Linked DNA regions of Daphnia pulex. The main gene of each other region encodes a partner of the protein of the gene in region 4 in a complex. Links are inferred from orthologs where the notes say so. Each region holds a gene or a part of one and is shown on either strand. Other genes may lie near its edges.

What was found.
Region 1: transcriptional adapter 2-alpha-like (region 4) and protein Dr1-like share a complex: the UniProt entries of both Drosophila melanogaster proteins name them as parts of the ada2a-containing (ATAC) complex. The link is inferred for Daphnia pulex from reciprocal best matches to the Drosophila melanogaster genes Ada2a and NC2beta.
Region 2: transcriptional adapter 2-alpha-like (region 4) and molybdopterin synthase catalytic subunit-like share a complex: the UniProt entries of both Drosophila melanogaster proteins name them as parts of the ada2a-containing (ATAC) complex. The link is inferred for Daphnia pulex from reciprocal best matches to the Drosophila melanogaster genes Ada2a and Mocs2B.
Region 3: transcriptional adapter 2-alpha-like (region 4) and DNA polymerase epsilon subunit 3-like share a complex: the UniProt entries of both Drosophila melanogaster proteins name them as parts of the ada2a-containing (ATAC) complex. The link is inferred for Daphnia pulex from reciprocal best matches to the Drosophila melanogaster genes Ada2a and Chrac-14.

Annotation. Positions count from the first base shown.
Region 1 is NC_060021.1:11,078,893-11,083,343, forward strand, and holds protein Dr1-like, read right to left. Parts: upstream 2,021-4,451; 5' UTR 1,862-2,020; intron 1,779-1,861; exon of another isoform or gene 1,738-1,778; 5' UTR 1,729-1,737; coding exon 1,512-1,728; exon of another isoform or gene 1,449-1,511; coding exon 1,307-1,448; exon of another isoform or gene 1,248-1,306; coding exon 1,100-1,247; 3' UTR 1,049-1,099; downstream 1-1,048. Other genes in the region: uncharacterized protein LOC124194693, read left to right, coding at 1-44, 107-158, 225-371, 450-543, 611-643. UniProt on the Drosophila melanogaster protein: Bifunctional basic transcription factor. Activates transcription of DPE (Downstream Promoter Element) containing promoters while repressing transcription of promoters which contain TATA elements.
Region 2 is NC_060026.1:10,880,768-10,886,487, reverse strand, and holds molybdopterin synthase catalytic subunit-like, read left to right. Parts: upstream 1-2,126; 5' UTR 2,127-2,852; coding exon 2,853-2,981; intron 2,982-3,044; coding exon 3,045-3,157; intron 3,158-3,257; coding exon 3,258-3,445; intron 3,446-4,267; coding exon 4,268-4,362; intron 4,363-4,433; coding exon 4,434-4,599; intron 4,600-4,656; coding exon 4,657-4,985; 3' UTR 4,986-5,050; downstream 5,051-5,720. Other genes in the region: pecanex-like protein 1, read left to right, coding at 1-666, 733-873, 936-1,139. UniProt on the Drosophila melanogaster protein: Catalytic subunit of the molybdopterin synthase complex, a complex that catalyzes the conversion of precursor Z into molybdopterin.
Region 3 is NC_060025.1:6,578,937-6,583,250, forward strand, and holds DNA polymerase epsilon subunit 3-like, read right to left. Parts: upstream 2,384-4,314; 5' UTR 2,236-2,383; intron 2,035-2,235; exon of another isoform or gene 2,012-2,034; 5' UTR 2,001-2,011; coding exon 1,815-2,000; intron 1,744-1,814; coding exon 1,659-1,743; intron 1,601-1,658; coding exon 1,404-1,600; 3' UTR 1,327-1,403; downstream 1-1,326. Other genes in the region: E3 ubiquitin-protein ligase LRSAM1-like, read left to right, coding at 1-135, 198-282, 351-594, 673-981, 1,051-1,170. UniProt on the Drosophila melanogaster protein: Accessory component of the DNA polymerase epsilon complex. Participates in DNA repair and in chromosomal DNA replication. Histone-like protein which promotes nucleosome sliding of ATP-dependent nucleosome remodeling complexes.
Region 4 is NC_060028.1:9,041,612-9,046,303, forward strand, and holds the end of transcriptional adapter 2-alpha-like, read right to left. Parts: intron 2,897-4,692; exon of another isoform or gene 2,892-2,896; 5' UTR 2,762-2,891; coding exon 2,704-2,761; intron 2,530-2,703; coding exon 1,154-2,529; 3' UTR 1,051-1,153; downstream 1-1,050. UniProt on the Drosophila melanogaster protein: Component of the histone acetyltransferase (HAT) complex ATAC; predominantly involved in acetylation of histone H4, including at Lys-6 (H4K5ac) and Lys-13 (H4K12ac).

The DNA.
Region 1 (4,451 bases), on a different chromosome or scaffold from region 4:
TTTGGAGCCATTCAAGGAAAAAATGGAGTCTTTTTTTGTGCAAGGTTTGGATCTCATGAAATGAGTTTACAATTTTCTTGTGTTTTTAAATCTATTTTTCTTTTAGCAAAAAAGTCACTATCCGAGGAAGAAGAAAATTTGACAGAATGCAAACAAAGGTAATTATAATAGGAAGAAGTTTGACTATTAAATTGTCATTACTGGTCATTTATTTTCTCTTGTAGATTTGAAGCCGTTTTGAAATATTTCAAATTCACACCTAAAAAAAATTCAGAGCTCGACCCAAAGGATTTCTTTGGTTTGTGGTCTACGTTTGCGTCAGATTTTAAAGATATTTGGAATCGTGAACAGCAACGTATTATCAAAGAAAAGTAAGCCTTTTTTATATTTTATTAATTTTTTTATTTATTTTATTAACACAACAATTCATTCTTCTTTCGCGGATTCAGTTTGGATAAAGCTAAGCAAGCTGTGAAACAGAAAAAATTACAGAGTAGTTCAAGTTATGGCTATGCTAAATCGAAAACTGACGAGGGAACTTTGGTAAGTCGTCCAGTTTATTTGCTCTACTTTTAAGATATGGTCTAACAATGTTTTTGCAATTTTACAGAAAGCAAGATTGCTTAGTCGAAAAAAGAAATAATGTTTGGAATTTCACTTTTGCCTTTTCATATTTATATATAACTTCTTTTTCCACCACGACACACGTACTTTTGTCCAATACCACTATGATAAAGTTGAATTTCTCGTAATCTCGTAACACTTAGATGTCGATCAAAGGCTTGGTTTGTCCATGTTATTTATCCTCTCAAACCTTATTATACTGATATAAAGTCGATTTGCGGCTTGTCGAATTGTTAAGCATTCAAAATGAAAAATAACTTGTTAATTATGCAATAAGTCATGCAGTTAAATTCTTTCCAAATATGAGGTATCTGAGTAGTATAAATAATGCTTCAAGTACAAAAGTAAAGAATGTTAGGATGGTACTGATAAATAATAATTAAGACAACAGTAGAAATATTTCAAATACACTTCATTAAGCTCATTCTAGAAATCAAATTTTGTATGTATTGAATCAAATTTCACAAACAATCTTCTAAGAGTATTCTCCATCTTCTGAATTTGATGGAACATCTCCCTGTTGTTGCTGCAAGGACATTTGAGCCTCTGCTTGAAGTTGTAGCCACTGTTGCTGCTCAGCAGCAGCTTGTTCTTCTCTGGCTTTGGCAAATAATTCCTGCTGTCTATATTTTAAAAAATATGTATTAGACTAATTAAATCATAAAAAAGTGATAAAACTTACTGTCTCAATAGCTCTTCTTCTGGAATTCCCAAGTTTTCCAACCTTGTACTTTGGCGCCTCCTTTTGGCAGCAACAGCTTTACAATCTTTCAACACTGCTTCAGCATCAGTACGGTAGTCATTGAATCCAAGCCTATCTAATGCTACAACCATGTGTGTTAGATTATTTTTCCTTTCCATTACTTTACAACATTTGTAACAATTACCTCCAAGTATATGCTCTGCATTAATAGTCTTTTTCTGTTGCTGAGTACAAATTTCATTAGCCTCTGAAGCCAAAAGGTGTATGAACTCAGAACAACAGTTAAGAATCAATTCTCTAGCTTCATTGGCAACTCGGACACTGGGAACAATCTCTTTAATCATTTTGTTCATAGCAGCTCTCGGAATGGTCAATTCTTCTTCTGGCACAGCTTCTGCCATCTTTAAAGCCTGTATATCAGAAAAAAAACCTACTGTCCACAAACAGAAAACTTTATGAAGAGCAAAGGCTTTGTCAGCCAATACTAGAAGGAAACCGTAATATTGAAAAACAAATTTATGACTCATTATATACCAGAAAATTATATACGTAGAATTAAAAGAACAGCACACACGGTAAGAGTATGATCCTAAATTCTTTCAAAGTTTTCACTAATAATTAACTTTTCTCTCGTGCAGAAGAATGCATAAACAAAGCAATACAACAAACTACACCAAACACACTAGATAAGAAACTAAAATGAATCGCTAAAATAACCTTTTTTTATGCGCCTCTACCAATCGTATACAGGTACTAGGTTGGGAATGTCCAGAACCTTATCCATCTGGTGGCTGCGACTAGTACTTCGTATCCGACTGATAGAATATATCAGCTTGCACCATTATCAGCTTGCACCATTAGTTAGGCAATCCAAATTCATTATCATTATAGGCATTACGAAACAAAAACTAAAAAAGACCATTGTTTTTTCCCCGCATAATTCAGAATCAGGTCATTTTTGGTTGTAAAATTGCTGTCATCCCCCTGTGATTTCCACGCAAACCTTGAAATGATTGTCATTTTTATACTACAATTTCTACTTCATCGTCGGTCCGCGAGGAATTAGAGGAAAAGTCATTGACAAAACCAAGAATACGCCTAGGTCGACCACGGCACCACGCAAGGAAAAGAAAAATTCCGGGTAAAATATCTAAACTTCATTCGTGTTGCTTATAGCAACTCGATCTATTGAAGGTTGTTGACAAGCAGTGTTATTGTGCGTGTTAGCTTTGTTTTTTAAATTCGAAATTCAGAGACCGAGTGTGATTCTATTTGCGCTGTTTGTAAGCAGAGCTATAGATGACAGCGTGTATGGCAGAGCTATACATCTATAACTCTGTTGTAAGCATAAAAGGCTAGATATTTTAATTTAAACCTGAAGTCCTTAATGAATAGGATATTTGTCGTTTGTAGTTTGAATATGTTTTTTGATTTTTTAAATGAAAACAAAATCACAAAAGCCCTTTGCTTGCTAACGGAGATCAACAACTGAGAAGTTAGAAAGAATTCGGGTAATTTTCTGAACTTCGTAAAAGGGCAACGTCGCTTCCCATTCCTCACGGAAGTTCGTCTGCACTGTGCAAGTCTGCAGACTGCATTGCAGATTGGTGAGTTGGTGACGATGACATCATCTGCATATTTTTTCAAAGTTTCAATCATGGAATTGTTCGATTGTAGTGACTAGTACGCAATAATGAGTCCGTTCACTCTAAAGTTTGTTTATATTTCTCGATTGTCTAACTTATGTTACCCACGGGTGTCCCGTTGCACCGTGGACCTTGGAATGTGGATTGTGGTCGGTGAGAAATTGACGGTGGTAAAGAAACTATTGCCTGGGGGACCGTAAGGAGTGATATTAATCGAGCAGCCCCATCAATTCCAATAGTTGCTTGAAAATTTGGGCAAGAACGAATTTGAAAAGCCCTTTGTGCTTTGTCTGCTGCAATACAACTTGAGGCAGGTGGCTACCATGTTACAGTTGGAAAACAAGCACATAATTAAATCACCTTGCTTTTGTCGTAAAACACACTAATGATTTATTACATTTTAGGTCAAAACAAATCCTGTCTGGATCTTGACGTAGAAATTGATAGACATACTTTTCATACTGTTGTCAAAGTTGAGAAAGAAGAAGACAGACATAATCTACTCTCTGCAACACTGGCATTATATTGGCCCACTTTCACGTTGATTTACCATATTGGTCTGGTGGAGTAACCATCAGTGGGAAAGCAGTGGTCCCAAAATATTAATCCCAGTCTCCTTTACTAGCCAACGTCATTTTCAAGTTGGGGATGGAATACCAGCACAAAACGTACGTTAATCAGCAAACGCGTAATGTAATAACGCTCAATATTAGTAGGTTGCTACAACTTTAGTCAATATACCCAAAAATATCTCACGGACTGACGACAAAACTGAAATTTATGGCCTCAATCCAGGTCAACCAACTTCTGAAGCTTAGCCATTTTATGATCGTGCCCAGCCCCAAAAAATCCCCCAGTCGACGTCAACTCCAACGCAACCTGCTGCAGCCAGCACTGGAAACTCGCGAATACGAGGAACTACACAACTTTCTTCGGCAGTTGCATACCCACAAGAGCTCCTGGCCGTTCCTCAAGTCTGTGGCTGTAACGGAAGTCCACAACTTTTATAAGATCATCAAGATTACAAAGAGTTATTACTGATGACTTGGTGAGTTTGTTGGCGACATCATCAAGATTTAGCGTTTTCATTTAACAAAAGTTGGTAAGGGTAAAGTGCTCACGCGTATAAGAGAGTGAGACACATTGCAAAAGAATTTTTTACTACTTAACGAAAGTCATCATCGTCTGTTTTTGTGCATCGCTTTGCTTGATGATGGGATCAAGCAAGTCATTGGCTTCATGGGTCGTTGCATGTCGTTGGGTCTCTTCGAATATCTTTTAAACTTTTGCGTGTATTCTTTATTATAATATTTGAAATTTGAAATTGAACATGTGTCAGCTGCAGCAGTGTTTACGAAGTATTTGTTGTTTCAATATTTTCCATTGCCTCTAGATGAAGAGGAATTTAATTCTAGTAAATAATAAAAATCGCTAAGTTATTAAAGGAAGCTGCCCATAATCATGCAATAATAATCGTT
Region 2 (5,720 bases), on a different chromosome or scaffold from region 4:
ACAGGAAGCTTGAATGGTAATACTGCAACGGCATCTGTTGGAAGAGGGTATCCGGCATTCACATGTAGCTTCACGGGATCAACTAGCAGCGCACTCGGACCAATGGGCTTAGGAACCTACGCCGCGTTAAATGCTTCTAATGCCGGAATGAATTCGTTTGCGTTCAACACGGCAAGAGGATCGAGTCCACGTAGTTCATTGGGCACCCAAAGAGGTAGCATTGCCTCGACGATGAGCGGGACATTGAGAAAACCGTCCGGCTCCACTCTCATAAGCCTAGCAGGAATGCTGGCCGAAAGGGATTCAGTCACAGCCGCTGCCGCCGCCGCGACGACCACTTCGACGCCCATGGGAAGTGGGACGTTAAATGGAAGTGCTCCATCCGTCCGTGAAAGACGTCCCAGTCGTGGTTCCGAGTCTCAGGAACGTGATGTTCGTTTACGTCGTACAGCACCAGAATCTAGTAGTAGCGCTACAGCTCGACAGAGAAATTCTTCCGGTAGAGGTGGCGAAGAAGAAAGACGTGGTGCAAGAGAAAGGAGTCGCAGACGAGATCGTTCTAGACGCGACCGTTTCGACAGACTTGAAACTGTCGACACTGACCGACCTCTGTACGAAACGGAGCCGTTTATGGACAACAGGATTTCTGTCGACCAACGAGTCAAGGTACTTTTTAAAGCTCTTCTAAATTGTATATTTGTAAATTAATTTACTTATTTTTTCTCTACTCAGATTGTCGATCCCAATCAAGTCTACGATACCATTAATCTGGGCCGACGAATTGATGTTCTCTGGCCAAGTCCAACAATTCGTAACCAAGGTGGAAAATCTTATTGGAAATCATGGCTTCCCGAAGTGGGTATGGAAGGACAGGTAAGAAAACTATACGCGATGGGTGAATAGTTTTCCTTTTACTGTACTTTGTGTTTGATTAGGTGGTACATCGTTGGGTGCCTAATCATCCAGATTCGCGACAAAGATCGCACGTGGATCGCGTCATCCTTCTCTTGAAAATAGACGATAAATACGTCCCAATCGCCGAATCGGCGGTCGAAATTGCATCATTGGTTAGTGTCAACATCGGGGATTCTATCGTCGTTAATGATACTAAGCTTAAAACCCAGGGAGTTGCTGATTGAAATTCCCAAACGCCGCAGTGTTTTTTTTTCGAGTCCATTAGGCTCATCGTTGTAATATGAAACGGTATTTTGGTTTGAATGTGAACCCCGAAATTTGTTCACGAACCTTGTTTTGTAAATAATGTTTGTGTTATGCGGAAATGCTATGTGTTATTTGACATTGACTAGGAAAAACCACTGTGATTTGAAAACATTGTCAATAACGTTTACCGAGTTTTTCAAATGTCGAATGAAATTTGAAATTGAGTAATTCGAAACAAATAAACTTTTGGATTGTTTGTAGTCTAGGAACTATATATTTAGATTTTTCCTTATTCAACTACCGCACCCGCCTCATAGTTACTGTTAATTATTAAAATCACGAAAATTCCCGTGTTAGTAGTGACACAAGGAGTGATGGTGAGAAAGTAAACACTTAACAGTCGCATAGAGGAGTGACTCCAGTAGCATAAGAATGCGCCTGTCATTTTATTTGGTGTCTGATAGAAAAACTTGTCGGATTTTTAAATAACAATAGCAGGGGTATGGAGAGAAAGATATCTCCATAAATCTCTCCATACCCCTGACAATAGTATGCCGGTATGCACATAGTTTGAAATTTGAATATTATGAAATTGTTGATTATGAAAGAATCGGTGAACGAATACGATCGCTCTGATACGATATAGATGTTATACCCTTGAAAAAGTAGTAGTCTAGAAAAAAATCGTGCGCAGTTTACGCCGATGCGCACCACAGCGGCAGATAGCAGAACTAAACTTTTTTTTACGCTTGACTACCTGTCTACTTCAAGTCCTTTGTTCGACAAGCAGTCGGTTCTCGTCTCGTTTCTTGAAGTAGACAGGTAGTCAAGCGTAATAAAAAGTTTAGTTCTGCTATCTGCCGCTGTGGTGCGCATCGGCGTAAACTGCGCACGATTTTTTGCTAGACCACTACTTTTTCAAGGGTATAACATCTATACACAATACACATAAAGTTGCATAGAATATTTGCATCGTTGTTGGCTTCTTGCAGATAAGGGGGCATAAAATTAATGTATATATTTTGCGCGCAAGAAAAACTCCGCGCATATTACAATTTTTGAATTTTTAAAAAATACGCTTTAGTCTCTTTATGTCATTGCCACTTCCCACTTGCCAGTGCCAGCAGACGACCAGTGACCAGACGCTTTTCTGATTGCCGAGCCTCTGTCACAGTTTTACAGACACATAGTCAACGCATAAGAAGAGCGTATTGCTAATCAAGATTACTACTCAAAGTTAAATTTACTTTTGCGGTGACAACTAATTAACATATATTTTTTTATTGATTGTTACATGTCAACAAATCTGGTTAAAATTATAGTCAGGGATGCTGTAGTCTTGACCTTGATCAATGGATGAAGTAGTTATTCGGATTCTGTTCTTTGCAAAGGCCAGAGAGTTAGTTGGAAAAGATTTTGACAATATTTCACTTTCCAGAACAACTTCAAGAATCACTGGGGCAAATCTTTTGTGCATCATTACAGAACAATTTCCAGCTCTAGAATCCATATCAAAGAACATTGTCCTAGCTGCTGATGAAGAATATGTTGAATTTGATCAGCTTATAGACATTAAAAATTGCAAGGAAATTGCAGTGATCCCACCATTAAGTGGTGGCTAGGTCGCTAGGATTCTTCATAAGCAGTGTGCTACAGCTTAATTCGCCAGAGCCCTTCAATTGTATTTTAAAATGGATATTATTAACTTAGTTGAAGAACAGCTTGATGTGAATTCAATCTACTCTAAAGTGGTTGAACATTCTACTGGAGCTGTGTCATTATTTGTGGGAACAACAAGGAATAATTTTGAAGGAAAGAAAGTAATGTCAATTTGAATAATCTAAAGTCAAATATTTCTAAATCAAATTTGCTTTATATTTAAGGTGATTAGTCTAGAGTATGAAGCTTTCAAGCCAATGGCATGTAAAGAAATCAAGAAAATTTGTGAGAATATTAGAGAAAAATGGAAGGTTAAACACATTGCATTCCACCATAGGTATAATTTTTTTTTTTACCATACTGTAGTTATAATGAGGAAACTTAAGAAACATTTTTTTGTTTGTTTGTTTGTTTTAATTACCTATTTTTCTTTCCAGATTGGGAGAAGTTCCGGTTGGTGAAGCAAGTGTTGTAATAGCTGTTTCATCCGAGCATCGAGCCGAATCTTTAGAGGCTGTTCAATTTGGGATTGACGCGCTTAAGAAGTCTGTACCAATTTGGAAGAAAGAACTTTATAGTGATGGTGCTCCTGAATGGAAAGCCAACAAAGAATGCCTGTGGACAAGTAAAAATTAAACAAATAATGCTTAGTTGTTCCTATTTGTTGTATGAATTTTGAATTCATAACAGTACTGATTCTTAACAAGTAACACAAATATTGAACCTTAATCGATTTTCCGATATCAGAACAATATTTGAAATGGTTTCCAGTACTTTTCATTAGTTAAAAATCGGAGCATGAACGTTAGTTTGGCTGTAGTTTCAATCTTACTAAAGTGATAATATCTACGTAGTGCTGTCAAGTCTGACATTTAAAATATAAGGTTTTTAAGGGTTTTTAATTCTCTTTTTATTTTTTAACTAAGCAATGTTAACATTCATTTTACTTATTATCCAAGTACTTTCCAGTTCCCAACGCTTTCCAATCTTTGCCCTTTCATTATATAATAACATATACTGTGTGATTCTAAAGATGAGTAGCTGCAATGCTGCATTCTACGCACTGCTTCAATCTATTAGACGTTTTCGTGTGGTTCGACAGCTTTGCTGCCTATAAGCTTTAAGCTAATTATCTGACGGAATAGGGACAACCACACATAGACGTCCTTTATTTAGTATTTAGTTGTGACTTCTGCATTTGTTCCCTTCACTGCCGCGTACGTCATTTGATTATTTGGCTTATAGAAGTATGGCTTAAAGAAAGCACAAGCGTTCAGAAGTTTTTATTAGTCAAAATTAAAAAAAATAAGTACGAAAATATTCTAATCTTGTTAGGTGGGGAAATTCGGGATTTGAAATTTTTTATTTCCATGAGAATGAGTTGTTGGAATATTTGCTTGATGTGATAGATGCTTAATAGTCAATAGCATGTTTTGAATTGATATAGATCAAGAAGAAGACGCTAGTCTATCTAAAAAGAGGAAAATAATGGTGGACTATGCAGCTGCCGATTGCGTTCAGATCAAGGCTTCAAATTTAGAGGTATTGTTGATCCGTTTTACTTTTATCAAGTCTTTTCTCAATAAATATTTTAAATGTTTTTAATTTTTCAGTTGGGAAAACGAATTACTGCGTTTATGGAACGGAAACGATCAGAGTCGGACGTATTCAACGTTCAGGAGTTCTGTCACAGACTACCATTAAACGAATTAGAGAATTCATGTGCTCGCACAGAGGCAGTGCTTGTAAGCAGAAAAGATAGTAAAAGTCATCTAAAGGGTAAAATTATTTTATTTTAAGGATTCAACGCTGATTACTGATTTCTTTACGTTTTAGTGTCGAGATGCGTAAATATGTGGGGACCACAAACACACTCTGAAGTTCCGGCTCCATCTTCAGTAAACACCAAATTGAATCCGACTCCTGCTATCCAAGAACGGCTACAAAATATGGAAAAACACTTGGGTTTTAATTCAAGAGAACAACCTATTCCACTGGATGTGTACGGACGCTTGAAAGCCCTTGAAGATAGAATCCTTCATTTGGAAAGCATTAGTCCTGAATATTTCGACGGACCGTTTAATCTTCAGAATAATAAAGAAGATGAAGATTTGATATCAAAAATTGAACAAAAAATGGATGAATTACGTAGAAAATTAGTATAGTACCACTTTCTTTTTTCTGGTTGTAATCTGATCAATAAAATATAATGCATCCTTCAAATTGGTAATTGCCTTATTAGTTATTAGTTATTATTGCTTATTGTAGTCTGGGAGCCGAGGGACAGAGGCGGGGCAGTAGACTTCTTGGCTACTGGCAAAAGGTTTAGGGGGAAATACTGTCATAAAGTTGATCGGGTATTATTGATATAAATTTCTACGTCCATTTGTGAAAGTCGCAATCGTCTAGCTAACATATTTTTGGAGATATTAACGGAAAACTTTCAGGGGGTAGCCGAATTTTTGATTTTTTTTTTTTCGATTTTTGACCGTTTCATCCTGGCGGATTGGCATGTCCGGCTGGTGATATTTCGATGTGGATACAAAATATGGTATATAAATGACTATATCTATACGTTGGGTAGAGCCAATAATAAGAAGAGGCCCGGAGTTGGATCTCTTCCCAGGCAATGATGACAAAAGCAAACAACAACAAACCAAATCATCCGATTGACTTTTCCGCAAGCTCCGATGCGGATGGAGTGAGGAGGAGGAGGAGGGTAGAAAATAAAGAATAAAAAGACGTAGGCTACTATACATTTATGTATGTATTTCTTGCTGTGCTGGATGCGGGGGTTGTGTTGGCTAGACAATTTTCGGGGAAGTCGAAGCGTATATAATGCATCCAGGACTGCAACGTGAAAAATCCATAGGAAATATGTAACGAGAGCAGCAATGGAC
Region 3 (4,314 bases), on a different chromosome or scaffold from region 4:
TATTAAAAAATATCCAGGCCCACAGAGATCAGATACAACTTCAGGATCTAGTAAAAGCAGAAGAAAATCAATGTCATTGCCTACTGGCCCTCAAGTTAGAAGAATTCAAGAATCTTAGAAAAGAAGATATTTTGAGTAAATCATTATCACAAGTTGAAATGTTATAACTTGTAAAAATCCGGTCACTTCTTGAACAGATGCTATGAAAACCCAGCTTGAACAAGACATATCCAGTCAGAAAACAATGTTGAATAAAACCCTATTCAATGTGGTGCAAATGGAGTAAGCCTAAGCATTATTATCGAACACAATTTTGTTGGTATTAAAAGATTTTTATGGTTAATTTTTAGGGATGAAGTAAAAAATCGTCAGATTGACCAAATTTTGCAGCATCGGCAAAAAGACCAAGCTGCTCTAGTCATGTCGTTATTAGAAGAAGAATCTTGGCAGTACCAAGCGTTTTCGTCATTGTTATCCCAGCGTGATCGGCGGACCACCCAGCTTAGCGAAGATATTCGAGCCGTAGTAGATAAACTTAATCAGCTTACCGCTTGGGAATTACAGCGCAAAAGCAGGCAAATCGATATTACTAACGTGAGTGCAAAGTCTGAAATACGTATGACTTTAATTTGGTCATTTATTAATTCCTTTTTTTTTTCTTATCGATCCTAGAACTTGCTCTCGGAAAATCGTATACAACTGGCTGACTTGCTTTCCCAGTTAATAGAGCAACAGCAGCTGCGTCGTAAAGATCTAAAACACCTCTTGGAAGAAATGGAAGTCCAGCGACAGAACCAAGCGGCCGACTATTGGCTTGTCCAGTATCAGCGTCTAATCGATAACATGCCTGATAATATTCAACATGCACAACAGTATCTTCCAAGTGCGCCTTCCTCTGTACTCGATGATGAGGAGGTGGCATCCGCTCCTCCGATGGAAGTTTTTATGGAAACTAATTGCGTCATATGCTTGGACAGTTCAGTAAGCTTACATTTATTACAGTTCAATTTTTCAAAACGAATTCATTCTAATTGCATTTATATTAAACAGTGCCAAGTTATATTCCTTTCTTGTGGACACTTATGTTGTTGTTCTGGATGTGGCAACAAGCTAAATCAATGCCCAATGTGCCGGGCAACCATCGTTAAACGACTGCAGGTTCACTCATAATGTTATTTATTTGCTTTTTAGCTTTTCATCGGTCATATCTTTGTGCCTTTGGCATCCTAAAAAAAATGTTTTCTTCATTTTTATCTTGTCTGTTGCTACTGTCGTTTCGAGACGTAAATCACACTTTAATTTTCACAGTATACAAACTATTTGAGGTCGTGTTTTTTTTTCTTTTATTAATTTTTTTGTCGTGCGAATACAAATTTTATCACACATTTTTTTGTCATTTAAGATCATTCATCCACTTCTTCATCCTCATTCTCCTTTTCATTTTCATTATCATTTTCATTGTCATTTTCATTATCATTTCCATTATCATTTTCTCCACCTTCATCTGATCCTTCTTCAATATCTTCCGGTTTTTTGTCGGATTTTTCCTGTTTCCGTTTAGCCATAGCTTCTTTGCGTTCCTTCTGTGCTTTCTTGTACACTGTAAAAGAAAAGAACATGTTGACATTCTAAAAATTGTTTTGAAAAAGAGAAATTACCTTCAAGAGAAGCCTGTAGTGGTTCAATAAATCTTTCAAATTCCATGTCAGCCATTGCTCCCAGGACATCCGGGCCACTGATGATCTTTATTTAACAAAAAAATTTTAGTAAATAATTGAGAGAATGGAACAAAATTTTCTGATTCTGTGATTCACCTTTCTGTTAGCTTTCATAGCCAGATTGTTAGAGCATGATGTGCAATAGAGAACAAATACAGAAGCAGCTTTAGCAATGGCGGTTCTAGCCTCTTTAGACACATTAACACCTTCTGGCAAGGATTCTTTTATGATTCTTGCTACTATTGAGTTGGGAAGGTTTAAGTCTTCAGGTCGTTCTGCCATTGCTTACGTACCTGGGAAAATCAAAACAAAATTCCTGTCATCAGCTAGATACATTAGTTGAACAAAACATATATTTCATCATATGAATTCTATTCAAATCAATAAAGAGAGAAAATGTCACTTATTATTTCAAATAATAACACCATTTAGTCATTTCCAAGAGATTTCTAGAAACTTTTTAAAAAATTAACTACACTTGTTACAAGATTTTCATAGGAAAAAGAAAACATCCTACCTGTCAAAACTTCTCCTACAATAATTTATTTCCGATTATACCGAAACCAACACTCCGACACTTGAAAACTTCAGATTTTTGCTGAAACAAATACACAGTCACAGTTGATGATTTCGATGTTGCTTCTGCTACAATAAAGGGCGGGAAAATAAGAAGTGCCAAGACCACATCGCCATCTGTGAGTAATATTCTAACCGTTTGCACAAATAAGTTTTTCGCCCCCGTTAGACCAGCAGTCGCGAGTCGCATAATAAAGAGGCGTATGATAAAGATAAATAATAATTTTTTTTATGTAGCACGAAGAAGATAAGCAGATCTTAATATATGAACAGACAAGATATAGGTTAAATATCAAACTAGTGAAATATCAATTTTATTACACCAATATTTAGTATTTACAGTACATTGTTGCTTCAGCAGCTTAGATTGGTTATTCTAACTTGAACCGATTTTGTTTTACTAGTATTATTTATTGTATCTTGAACAACACTTGGATGTTAAAACAAATCGACATGAAAATTTTAACAATCGTGATCACTTCTGTTCTTATTAGATTCAATAACGATTTTGACGGAATGGATGGAGATCACCAAATATGACGTACGCAAAAGACGGCAAAAGATCGTTAGACTTGTCGTTAGATAGTGTCAAGAGCGGCATGTGTAATAGGATAACAAACTTTCCTCCTTTTCGCCAAGCCACTCTACATCTCCGAGTCAAAGGGACCCAAACTTCCTTTAGCAGCCAAAAGTTAGATTTCCATCGATGCTAATCTTACAAGGGAATGACTGTTGTGTGTACCTGAAAACTTTTGAATGGATAATCGCTTGCTATACACCCGTATATAGCCTATAGGGAATAATAGATTGCCAAACGCCGAAATTACGAGAAGTTAGATTATTGATTTGCGACTCTAACTTTCACTTATAAAATTCGTTTCTCGGAAACCTCCTACCATCCCCAGTCGCCTACAAATCAGGTCATGGAATTCAAGACAAGTTTGATCCAAAGATATATTTTCAAATCCTACACAAAGTGTGAGAGTCGGGAATCAGAGAAAAGGCAGGATATGCCCCGGGATACTACTCATCCACTCCGACTCCAGGCAACGGATACAAAACTGATATACGCTGTGTCGCTGTCTACCATTGGCCCCTTCAGACCTACATCCGCCCACATCGGAAACTGTAAATCAGACGTGGATGGAAAAACAAAAAGTTGAAGAAATAAGTCTGACGCTCTTTTGAATGAGACGGATAAATGAACAAGTTTTGCTTACTCCCAAGTTTCTCTATAAATAAATAACAACAATTTAAGAAACAAATCTCTACTAAAATAATGGTTCATCTTTTTTTTTAAATAGACTAGGTAATCAAACTGTCTTTAATCATCGTTAATTTCATATATAATTTTTCCGATCTCAAAATTTTTCAAAGACATCAATCGCATCATTTTTTATCCTGTATATTTTTATCCGCGTGGGCGTACACCAGCAATCATCCCATCAGGATTTAACACGGGAGTTTTGTTTTTTGTTTTTTAATTTCTCATCCTTGACACGCGTGACAGACTTTCTTGTCAAAAAGTTTGACATGCGCTTTCCCGTTAACACATTTTGTTAGAGATCGGCCGTGTGAACTGTCTGTGAGCACTTGGCGACGAATAAGATAATCAATTGCTTCGCGCCTTGTTAGTTTATTTCCCCCGCATGTTTTTCGCTTTCATGTTTTATTTTCGAAAAGTGGAATGGATGGGATCCGGATCCCGCAGGAATTAGCAATAAGAGCGGGTGATTACGTCTGCAATACAAACCAAGCGAAAAGTCGAAATTGGTCGAAATTGGTTGTGTGCTGTATACGCGTATATATATTTAGCCATGCCTTGTTTGTAGACGCTAGACGGGATCTATAACGACGCGGAGTTATCGGGAGTTATGATTTCGATCTGCTTACTTATTATGTAAGTATCTCTTTCAGCTGCTGCTGCTGCGCGGTCCTCGAAAGGTATATGGAGCTCTTGCTCTCCCGTCACCACACCCCACTACATACATCCTCCCTCTCTCTGTCTGCCGCCCATATA
Region 4 (4,692 bases):
ACCTCAGCAACTGCATCCGCCAGTAAATTCAATCAAGAGCTTTTAAGTGAAGGCCAACCCAAATGCCTCGCTATCGTTAACTAAAGGCTCTCTCGTCCTACGCTTTGCCGCACAAGTGTGTGCATCACTCTCGACTGCGCCCATCCCTGGGATGGAAAATCACGAAAAAGGATGAAAAGGAAAATCTGTATTGTGACCAAAGGAGAAAAAAAAGAATAAAATATGAGGAATTTCAAGTGCATTTGCCTGACATGGGTTGGTCGACCGTGTTCAATATTGGAAGCTTCGCTTGGTTTGAATATCTTCCAGAATCTGTCGGAGTTCTTCGTCTTCAAATCGGCCTTCAAGACTGCGGGAAATCAAACAAGTCTTTCGTTATAAAAATCAATTAAGATATCAGTGACGGTTGGATGTACCTGGGAATGAGAGATTTGGCCTCTTCAGGGCTTTCCGGGCACAAATTAGCCAGAGCTGCCAGTTCGAATTTGTGCAATTTTTTCTGCATCAGCAAACTGGAGTTCAAGAAGAAAGAAAGAAAAAACAAAAGTAAGGAAAAAGTTGGGAATGAAGTCATTGATTCATTCCGGGAAAAAACAAACAAACAAATCAAACTTTCAAGAGCATCAACCTGCGAATGGCGGCGATAGTCTCACGATTCTTGAACTTGCTAAAGCGCTGAGTGTAATTAAGCGTCTTCATAAAGACTTCCGACAGTTCCTGCTCGTCCTCTGCGCTTTCATTCTGTAATTTACGATGGTCCAGCAACATGTGGACTTCAGATATCAGCAATGTTTCCGCATTCTCGAACTCTGTAATGATGTGGAATGGAGACAGAAGAATGAAACCGCATTAAGGGATGGTTCACTGTGCAAACTACTAAACTAGTGCCCACTCGTTTGTCGACTCTTTTTCTTTCTTTTCCTGCTGATCTAAGAAAACAAACCTGCATGAGCTTCCCATGACTACAAGCCCACACATCTATATATCTATATATATATATATATAACAGGTAATTCGAGATGATTTCAACACGCTAAAACGACATGAGGCTTGACTGTATAACGCAAGTTTATTGCTCATCTCCTCTTCCCCTCTCTCTCTCAGTCTCTCTGCCCCCTGTACAAAACATTATTATAACAAGTGGTGCCATAAATCAAGCGGGGAAGTAGATTAGTTTCTCTTCTAGGAGGAAATCAAAGATCTTGCGCGTCTTGTTCACATCAATCTTGATCAACGTCCTGGCCTGAGCCAGCCGAATGCCTTTGCGGTTGCGGCACTCGGCGATGAGAATGTTTCGAAATTCCATGTACGACTCGGGAACGAGACGTGAAACGGAGCACAACTGACGTTCGCCTTCGTTCAATTTGTCGTAACCGGGCAGACCGACAATGTCCAGCGGCGGTGCGCTCCTTCGCTGCTGTGGGAAAGGGCCAGCCGGGCTGACTAGAACGTTGCCGTTGCTTCCTTGAAGCAGGGCTGAGGTCACCAACTGTTGGTGCTGCTGCTGGACGGGGAACGCCACGTGAAGGTTGGCCGAAAACTGCTTCCACTGCTTCATGTGCTTCTCACGACGAGCCTGAAGCTGCGTGTAGATTTTGGCCGACGCCAGAGTCTTGATCCCCAAGTGGCGGTACCTTTGCAGCTGCTGGATTCGCTGCCGCAACTCGACATGTCCGTGCAAGCCTTCAAAGAGACTGCAGTGGTCTTGAAATTTGAACACCTGGGAAAACACCGAGAGACGCTCACAAATGCGATGTGTCAGCGTAGAGTCGTAGCGATAACGAGCCGCCAAATGACGATGAAAATTGATCAACCCGTGTTCCTGGACGATACGTTTCTTTCGAAATCTCTCGCGCAACTTGTCGTTGTACACTTGCACCACGGCCACGGCCAATGCACGTTCGAGTTCTAAAGCCTCTTGGTCGATTTCTTCGTCGGGATCGGGTTTCGTTTCATCCTGTAACGACGCCACGTCAAATTCTGCATTCTGGAAGGCTTCCACTTGGAAATCTCCTCGAGCAGCACAGTAACCGGCCATGTCTCTGTGGTAAACTGATCCAGGAACAGGCCTAGGGGGGTCGTGAGTTCCGGTTCTGTAGACGATAGGCTGAGGCCTGTACAGTCTCTCTGGACTTTTCGGTCTTGGTAGAGGTTCCACTGGGTCTTCAAGGTACCACTTGTTATAGTGGTTTGCACATTCTTCAGGACTGGCTTTGGAGCGTTTGGCAACCTCCGTCCAATTTGATGGCCCATGCGTAGACAACTGATCCAGCAAAGTGAGTTCTTCCCGAGCAGTCCAGTTGTCAAAGAGGTAGAAATCATCTCGTATGACCCTGTAGCTGTGATTGTTCAAATGGTGATTGCTTTCCTTTCCCTTGGCAAAGCACGTTGGGCACAAGTCCACTCTGACACACTCCTCGCACCTGATGTAAACTCCAGTCAGAGGGGTCTGACAAATGAAACACACTCGAGTCTGGGAACAATCTGTCGCCGGCCACACATTTCCACATGGTTCATCAGTCGACATTTCTAAGAAATTCGTTGCAAATGAATTAAACGTTCACGAAACGTGCAGTTCTTAGCCAGGTCTAGCCTAACAGCAATTAACTGTAATAACTGTAAATCCCTTTATGAAAACATATCAAGCCTAACACAGGGAAGCTCAAAACCGTAAACTGGGTAGGAAATTATAGTTCTTTTTACCTTTTGGGAACTGCAAAACAGCGGCATCTTCGTCACTGATCTCTGTGGCGGCCGCCATTTTCAAATGATATTAGAGTAAAGTGTAACGACGTTGCCAGACTTGCTGTTGTGATTTTCGTTGAAAATTTCATTTTTCGAAAAATATTCATTTGGCAATTTTGTACCAGTTTTTCCCAGCCGGATTTGACCTAGACTATCAGACAAAAATCAAAACGAATAAATTAATACTAATTGGAGTCCCAAAAACGTTACACAAATCATTGTGCAAAAGAGTGTGGCCTAGTGCCCTAGTCCACGTTTGTTGGATTTCTCTTCATTTCCAGGAAGTTGTTTTTAAAACATAATTTTTTCGCTCAAAACCGCACACAAGTCTGAGCACGAACAAGGCGCTAGAGATTTCGTAATCTCCAACATCCGGCAGTCCTGCACGGCACCACCTCGGCGAATCATCGGAATGGTTAATGCCAGCCAAATGAATAAAACAGATGGCAGCGAGCGATGCAGCACAACCAACCAGCCAGCCTGAATGATTATATACGAATATTTAAGAACACGGGGGCCTGCATGGTTCATAATTAAAAGGTTTTCTACCGACTCCCGCCATCAATAAGTGTTGGCTCAGGAACGTAATAATTGATTAAGAGCGGAATAGACAAAAATGCCGGGCAAAAAGATGGGCGTACAGGAAATATGAAGGAGAAAGTAGGATTATTAATTGATTAGAGTAGGCAACGAAGAATTCCCTATATTACACAATGTAATACGTCGTACATGATTAATGACAGAGAGAACTACGTTCCAAGTTATTTTCAAGAAGATGAGGAAGACTGCCGGATTATTCTTGCATAAAGACGTCGAAGTAAAACTTAAGGGAGAGAAAAGGAGCAAACGACGATGAAATAAAATACGAAGGATTATTGTAGTCGGAATACTTTTATAATAGAAGAAAAGGCCCTTCCGCATAAACTTTCACTCCGACCCCCCCTCTCCCCAAAAATGCACTTTGCGCAACATTTCCGGTTGCGGAGAAAACTTTACACTCAAAGAGGAGCTGGCAGAACAAGTTTTACCTAGTGTACGTCTATTTACCGTGTGTATAGACCCCCTCAACACACACACACAAAATAAAGGGAGGGGCACCTGTTGGGCTGACTATATATTAGAACGGATGGTAGGGGGTTGCTGTGGTGGTGGCGGAATCATCCACCCTAAACTTGTAATCCTTGCGGCGTTCGTTCACGTTCGTCCCTCTGCTCTAGCTCCTCTTTTCCATCACGTAATCTCTATGTTATTAAAGGATGATTGTGAGTGTCTGGTAATCCGCATTTCGCGCTGGCCAAAAGTTCGGTATTCTCTCTCTGCTACCAGCGATCCTGCCTGGACATCCTGTGCATTTCTGAACTAATTAGTAACATCTATATAAACCCCAGCTCCTCGTTCTAGATGATTATCCAATAGAAAAAGCTAATGGAGCTCCATTCGCGACGCCATTTTCATCCGCCTCACGTGAGAATTTGGGGAACAATAAAAAAATCCCAATCCATCGATTTTTACATTTTAAATGTTTCCCAATTTAGGACAATATAAAAGAAAGCGATCGAAAATAAATTCATTAATTGAAGGACCCCGCCCACTTTGCCGTGAGCCAAACCGATCGACAAGCGTTTTAATAATAACAATCAAAGAATTCCGCTTGGCGGCTTAATCTCTCCGTTCTTCCGTCTTCCGCAACAGCAGTCGGCCATAATAATGGCAACTATTTTGTACGGATTATTCGCCCCTCCTCCCCATCGTAATAATAATAATAATAATAATATATTGGGGCTCAGCATCCAGCAGGGTCTTCTTCTCCGACAATAAAACCCACCGCGGAGCCAAAGCGGAAGGAAAAAAAAAAGAGAACGTGCCTTATAAGCCCCGAGACCCAAGTTTTGTTATGTCTTTCCGAGTCGGAAATCAAGAGAAATCGGTCAAAGATATTACACGAGA